Linked DNA regions of Bombyx mori. The protein of the gene in region 2 purifies or fractionates together with the protein of the main gene of each other region. This does not show direct contact. Links are inferred from orthologs where the notes say so. Each region holds a gene or a part of one and is shown on either strand. Other genes may lie near its edges.

What was found. Proteins that work in one complex are often made in the same cells at the same time.
Region 1: the proteins of src substrate cortactin (region 2) and actin-related protein 2 purify together in Homo sapiens (affinity purification with mass spectrometry; 3 studies listed by BioGRID and IntAct, with this or other methods). This does not show direct contact. The link is inferred for Bombyx mori from reciprocal best matches to the Homo sapiens genes CTTN and ACTR2.

What each region holds. Positions count from the first base shown.
Region 1 is NC_085130.1:7,235,402-7,239,163, reverse strand, and holds the start of actin-related protein 2, read left to right. Parts: upstream 1-868; 5' UTR 869-1,048; coding exon 1,049-1,096; intron 1,097-1,180; coding exon 1,181-1,291; intron 1,292-3,762. Other genes in the region: CCAAT/enhancer-binding protein zeta, read right to left, coding at 294-452. UniProt on the Homo sapiens protein: ATP-binding component of the Arp2/3 complex, a multiprotein complex that mediates actin polymerization upon stimulation by nucleation-promoting factor (NPF).
Region 2 is NC_085113.1:1,685,228-1,688,897, reverse strand, and holds the start of src substrate cortactin, read right to left. Parts: upstream 2,869-3,670; 5' UTR 2,601-2,868; intron 2,432-2,600; exon of another isoform or gene 2,388-2,431; intron 1,730-2,387; coding exon 1,590-1,729; intron 900-1,589; coding exon 813-899; intron 1-812.

The sequences.
Region 1 (3,762 bases), on a different chromosome or scaffold from region 2:
AGTATCTCTAACTGGGTTGCCAGTCGCAACCGCCATTCGAGCAGCTGAGGACCGGACGAGATGGAAACAGCTCACGAGACAGGCAACGGTCAAGTTTCAGGGACACGACCTTCAGCAATGAAGAAAGCGACGAAGAAGAAGAAGAATGAGCATCGATTACTAATACGACTGGACGATCGAAATCATAGTAAAGGTTAAATACAATTTTGAATTGATGTGTTAAAGCCTTATTTCCTACGCTTTTTTTTAAATAGGGAAAATAAACATTTAGACTTATGTTCTATATCACAAACCTGATGAAACCATTTCTTTTTTTCACCATATTCAAGGCTTTCGGCGAAATTCTTTGCGATACCCTGGCCTTTCTTATCATCTGCGTTCTTATCAGCTTGACCGTAATTAGTGTAAGCCTCATCAATTAATATATTTTCCTCAAATCTTTTATGCTTCATTGTAAGTTATTGTATCATGTTACGTTAAATATAAATAAGGCACGTGAAAACCTGAAAACAAACGTTTCTCAAAACCATGCCTTTCTTGAAGTATGACATTTGTGTGACATTAGATAAATCATTACTTTGGGCTGTCAAATGTCAGTGTCAGGGCCTAACCACTGAAGTATGGCCTAACGAGTCAGTTTTAACGAGCCAAATAAAGTCACAATGAACATTTTATTTTGCTTCTTAATTAATTAAATATGTTAGTTAATTAATGATTAAATTTGGTTGAAATAGCTAAATTAAAATTCTGACAGTTTTTTTACGGACAACACAATATTTCAATACACATGCTAAAAAGACTAATTACTTCAAGGAGAAGGTGTGTCACACAAGAATTTAATTTTTGCATTCAAAATAAAACTTTATACGAAGTGTCTTTAAAGGTGTATTTTGTACTGCATATAGTTTATGACAACGATTTGTCATTTTTACAGAATTGTGAGATTTGCTTTCCGCTTTGCGGGAGTTGGGGAGTTGTGTAGTGTTCTAAAAAACAAATTACATTATAACTTTTTAATATTAATAAAATAAATTAAAAACTAAATAAAATGGACGACAAAGGACGGAAAGTTATCGTTTGCGACAACGGTACCGGCGTAAGTGAACACAAAATTTGTAGACTATTAGAATTTTTAGATAAGCTCTGAATCACGTACGGTTTTCCTTTCGATGTATTACAGTTTGTGAAATGTGGCTTCGCTGGTAGCAATTTTCCGGCATTTATATTCCCTTCCATGGTCGGCAGGCCGATCATACGCGCTGAAAACAAAATAGGAGATATTGATGTTAAGGTAAGTGGAAGACACTTTTTCTCATTATTAAGTTGACAACAATTTTTTTATTGGCCTATTACGAACAAATGAACGTTAATGTAAAGCACATAGAAACCTGAAGGACAAACTTTTGTAACAAAATTAATAAAATCATTTTACCTCTATAAAAATAGTTACAATACTTAAAAGTTTGTAAGCCTTGTTACAGCAAGGAAGACAAAAAGGAATTTCTGTTCATTATTTATAATATTGATCTGTGTTTTCAGGATATTTGTATTGGTGTAAGTAATATAAATACATCTAGGAATGTTTTATTGTTCTAACGTTAATTTTCTTTCTGATGTGTGATGATGATTAAATGCATTATTAACAATTGAAACAACAGTAGATTCTTTTTTTAAACCAAAACAGAGGTTTCATTTAAAAAATTAGTCTGGATTATAAAATATGGAAAGAAAATTCAGGACAAACTGTCTATCGACAGTCTGTTTGCCTATTCCATTGGAAACTAACTGCATGCTATAGGAACTAAAACAATGAGTGTTAGAAGGCTATTAAAAGATTGAGATATGCTTAAGAATTTTAATAGTCTCTTCGTATACTTAAAGAGTCCAGGAATGGGGTTTTGGGAGGCTTAACGACAAAGAGAAGATCTTCCACCGAGCGGGTGATATTGCTCGGTAGACCGATGGTCCGAATGTTGTTGTTCGGAACTTGTATATATGCACTTTATCTTGAAAATGTTGTAAGCGAGATTCAGGCAACTTGCTTTGTATGATGGTTACCTGCCACAGGGTGATAGTGACATCCATGCAAAGCCAGTATTTACCAGATTAGCAGGTTCTGACTTGGAATAGTGAAAACCAAGCATTATATACTTTGTGGCTTTATAAAGATATGAATGAATAGATATCTCAAGCATGAGGTATCCAATTTGTAATAGACTGTTATCTCCAAATAATGTTATCAAATTCTCAGAAGCGCTGTTTGGAGATGAAAACTAGAGAAAAGGGGACTAACATATATTATGTATTAAGTGTGCTTAAAGTGTCTTGTGAATATCTACCGAACTCTACCCTTAAATACGATAATCTTACATGCTGTTTAGTTTTACTCCAATACAATTAAGTTTTAGAATTGAAATCTTCTTTCAAAGATATACATTGGCAAGAGAGTTATACTGTTCACCTAATATAGAGTTTTTACTGAGTAAGCTAGATATGAGAATGTGGATTCTGGTGTATTCTTAATTTGACAAATGAAGTCAAGTGGATGCTACATATTGGAAGAGTAATAAAGTCAAAATCTCATTGATATAATGGTATTCTTATATTATTGCTGCAGAACCAGGTATAACTGGGGTCTCTCTGATATTGATAATGAATATCTACATAGTGTTAGATTTCTTTAACTTCCATAGTCTCTAAACATCTAAGTGATTGTTTGATTTGAATTAATCTAGATATAATTTTTTTTTCAAAAAATCCTTTTCTAAAATTCATTTATTTGTTGAATTTTTTTAGTATTCATGTTCAAGACTATCTGTCCTATGAATAATTGAAACAAATCTTGTCCCAAAAATTGTAAAAATATGATGTTAAAAATAATTACACTACATTTTGAGATTACTCAAACTCAACTTTTATTACTAAAAACACAACTAAAAATGTTGACAAAACAAGGCATGTTTTCATTTTTAACTCGTGTGTGTCTGTTTGTGAGTGTTTGTCTATGTGTAGATTATAAACTAAAACACTTTCTACTGGTGGTAGGACCACTTATGAGTCCGCATGAGTAGGTACCACCGCCCTGCCTATTTCTGCCGTGAAGCAGTAATGCGTTTCGGTTTGAAGGGTGGGGCAGCCGTTGTAACTATACTGAGACCTTAGAACTTGTATCTCAATGTGGGTGGCGCATCTACGTTGTAGATGTCTATGGGCTCCAGTAAATACTTAACACTAGGTGGGCTGTGAGCTCGTCCACCCATCTAAGCAATAAAAAAAAAACACTGTAGTGTTTGACAATTTCGCCTTCTTCTTGACTTTATACCCTGGTTTGTTATTTACTCTCCTGTTAGTGGGAAATTTGCACTCAAAAATAAATAAGTCAAACACACTTTTTTTTTATTGCTTAGATTGGTGTACAAGCACACGGCCCGGCCCACCTTGTGTTAAGTAGTTACCGGAGCCCATAGACATCTACAACGTAAATGCCGTCACCCACCTTGAGACATGACTTCTAAGGTCTTACTTTTAACAGTACAACGGCTGCCCCGCCTTTCATACCGAAACGCATTACTGCTTCACGGCAGAAATAGGCTGGGTGGTGGTACCTACCCGTGCGAACTCACAAGACGTTCTACCAGTAATTTGCTCATAATTCATTATAATGTTATCGTAAAATGAATCGCAGAATCTATTTAGCTACATCACGGGTAACAGTCATAGATATATGTATTTGAAGAGCAAAGCAAATTTACTGTCTAATCT
Region 2 (3,670 bases):
CAAGCTCATAAACACACCATCTTTGATAGTATTGGTCTTTCCATGCTATTAAAGAGCCTCTAGTCATTATTTCCTCATAAATGGTATATTATATTGTTACGCGCTGGGACTCGGGATGAATAAAGCTTCCAGCGAAGTACTAATTAAAACTCTATTTAACACTTAGAACATCTTAGGAACACTTTACAATTCGCACTTCACTTCCGCTTCGCTTCACGTGATCCGTTCGCTGTTTCGCTTCGAATAGATTACCAACTGCCTTCATGTCATCTCTGCAATGCTTTTATAGTAGACACGACAAGATTACAATTATTGAGAAAGTTCACGATAGAACAAGACGTTTCGATATGTGTTTCCGATATTTGATAATAGATGGCGTTGCACATCTCGAGCGTTCTCGATACTACTAGTTCTTTTGATATTCGTTTCTGTTATTTAATGACAGATGGCGTTATTCTTACCCAAGTAACAATATAGTTTATTCGTCATATAATCTGCCTTAATCGTCACTATTCTAGGTTCACTGACCAGAGACTTTTGTTATTGAAGACAACTACAAGTATCCACTACAACAAAGTCTCAATTTAATGATAATTATGCTATATGACATCTAGCATCTATTTACTTGAGCGAGCTGACGTAACGTGCACTATAATTAATTTAACATGTTGATTTATTTTATGCAATGTTAATTCATCAATCATTAATTCATTAGTGTACTTGTTTTACTACTTAAGAATACACCTTATTCAGGCTATACCAGGCTTTATTGGGTCAGGCCCTGGAAACCACATTTAAAGTTGATCACATACCCAAATGAAGGTTTCGGTCCAGCCTCATACTGTTTCTTCTTGGCTAATTTGTCAGCTTCAAATACCTCTTCACGTAATTTTGCCATGCTGTTAAAGAATTATAATAAAATTGTAATAGGTGCAGATAATATGGGCACATATTACATAATATAATAAATACATTTAATATAAAACATGTATAGTATCTGGTTCGTATATTGAGCACTGGACCCCTTCACCGAGGGGACCTCATAACCACTCTTTAGCAAGGGTCAGTTTATATTCAACAAATTATATAATATGTAAAATAATTCCAAGTTTTTCAAGCATGACTAATTCATTATACATAAATGATATGTCTCAAAACAAATGAACATTTACAAAGCGGTTTTAACATTACAGATTGCTTTCTTTACGTCATAGGATATTCATTAGGTACGCTTTATTAGCCTGTATTGAGGTAGATCAACTTTTGTGTTTCTTAATTTAAGTAAATTAAATAATCATTTATATTTTTGAGCTTTTTTATTACTTTCATATATGTTTTCCTATCACTTTCACATATGTTTTCCATCCCATGAAAAAATATGTGATAATAGTTTAACTTTACAAACAATTATGTGTAAAATTAGGGTAGCCAATAATGTTGCGGAAAACTGTCATGCTTTCCCAAAAATATTTATTCACACTGTGTAATTGACATACGAAAATACATGTAAATGCAGTCCCAACCATGTTCTTCAACAGTATAAGCTTTATAATCGAACCTCATAAATTAGGTTAAAAAACATTGCTCACTCAATTGCCTCAACATTCCTTCCGGCGGGCCCCCATCTTTGTTCCTGTTCACTCACATCATTAACATAGTCGGGATCTGTTTCCCAATCATCTGCTTCAGCAGGCTCTGGTGCCTTCACATTAGTAGCAGCTTTCCACATCTGTGAGTGAAATGTTTGAACAGATATTTTAAAAATGACTTATGTGCAAATTATAGATTGGAAACAGGGGCTATTGTCAGGTTATTTCTAACTATAAAACAGTGTTTCCCACTTTTGTAAAATATTTATGCCCTCATACAATATAATTTTTAACATTAAAAAATTGATTTGTTCACTTAAGAAACATAAATGTTAGGTTTTAGGTAGAAATCACTATGAAATTGTTATCAGAACACAGTAAGTAATATTTCAAAACATATAATAAAAACTGAAATTCAAATTCAAAATAATTTTAATACAGATTTTCTATATTCATTTAGTGCAATTGCCCCACTTAATTATCAAATTGGCCCCTTGTAGGGCATAGGCCTCACGTAGGGAAACGCCTCTCTACAATGTAATAGAAAGACAATAAGCACTCAATTAAAATCAAAAGTAGTATCAGTTTAAAGGTGTGGAGCAAAAATGCATCTTGTGCTTGTTGTAATATTTGCAATTACATAATTATGCTGATGGTACTTGCAAAAATATCGAATGATATAAGGTTGATGATGCCATGGACAGGACGTGTAGTCATGACCCCCAGCATTGATAGAACGAGATGCAGAAGTTTTAATATTTTCTTATTTTTTCCAAATCAATTTATCTGTGTACTTACTAATACTTTTACAGACGACTGATAATATTTGCACTATCTGAAGAAAAAATTAGATAAACATTTTGATAACACGAAAAAATTATATTTACGTAAACAATCAGGTACTTATTTGATTACTTATATTGGAATAACAAAACTATCCTTTTATTGGAATAATAAAAGTTCAATATTGACTTGAGACCAACTTATTAGTAGTAATCTAATTTAATTCACCTTATTCCTTTGAACCGGTTGAGGAAAACAAACACGTTTTTAAAGTTCTATTTTAAACTTTCACTTTTAACGCATAAAAAATTATCGACTGGTTAAAATGTCATCGATATATTTTAATGGTGAGAATTTTTTAACTCTAAAAAACGTTTTCTCAATTTGTTTTTACTTTCATATTTTGTATTTGGATAAAATTTTGGGCGATGGTTTTTGTGATGCGTCAGCCTCTGACAGATGTCATCGTTGTCAAATAGAATCACAGACTATACACTAAAATATACGAGATATACAAAAAAATAAAATTTATAAAAATATTAAGTAGTTACCTACCACATAATATGTCAATAACATTATTCATTTTCTACTATCAGCTTGAGCAATTTATTATAACTGTTAATAACTCAACCGTTTAGCATATTTTTGTTTATGTGATCTTCAATGTAATTAACTCGAAGAGTGACGATCTTGGTGACGGTTCACCCAATCTGAAAGGAATGGGTGAACCACCTCGATGATCGAGGGCGAGATCAAGCTTCCAACACTGCCAGCTGAGCAATCAGCCTACGTTTTCCAACGAACACCAATTCCAGGAAGATGCTTGCCTCGTTTACCAGTATCCATCCTTTCGAATCACCACTCACGTGCGGAAGTTTCAACGATCGTCCACTTTGTGCTCATAGACCCTGAGTTTAACCCTATATCCGAAATGGCTGTCTTCGTTTACAATATGGGCGTCGGCAGGAGGCCTGTGACAAGTGGTGAAGGGGGCAAAATCCTGAATTTTCCAAGGATGCCACCAAAGTCACCCCTTCCCTTTACTATCGTATGAAAGAATAACGATCAACTCGGAGCTCAACGCATAAGACGTTGCATTGTCATTCAATGACATGTTTTAATTATTATTAAAATACATATTTTCATTGCATTAACTTTATTCCGTAAAATACAACACTTACAACTAAAATATCACAAAAAAAAAACAAACACCATACAAAAAACAACTATTAAATAAACATACTTTTATTAGCTATGTAGATACCTCCACAAACGTACCACACTATTAGAAACACGTT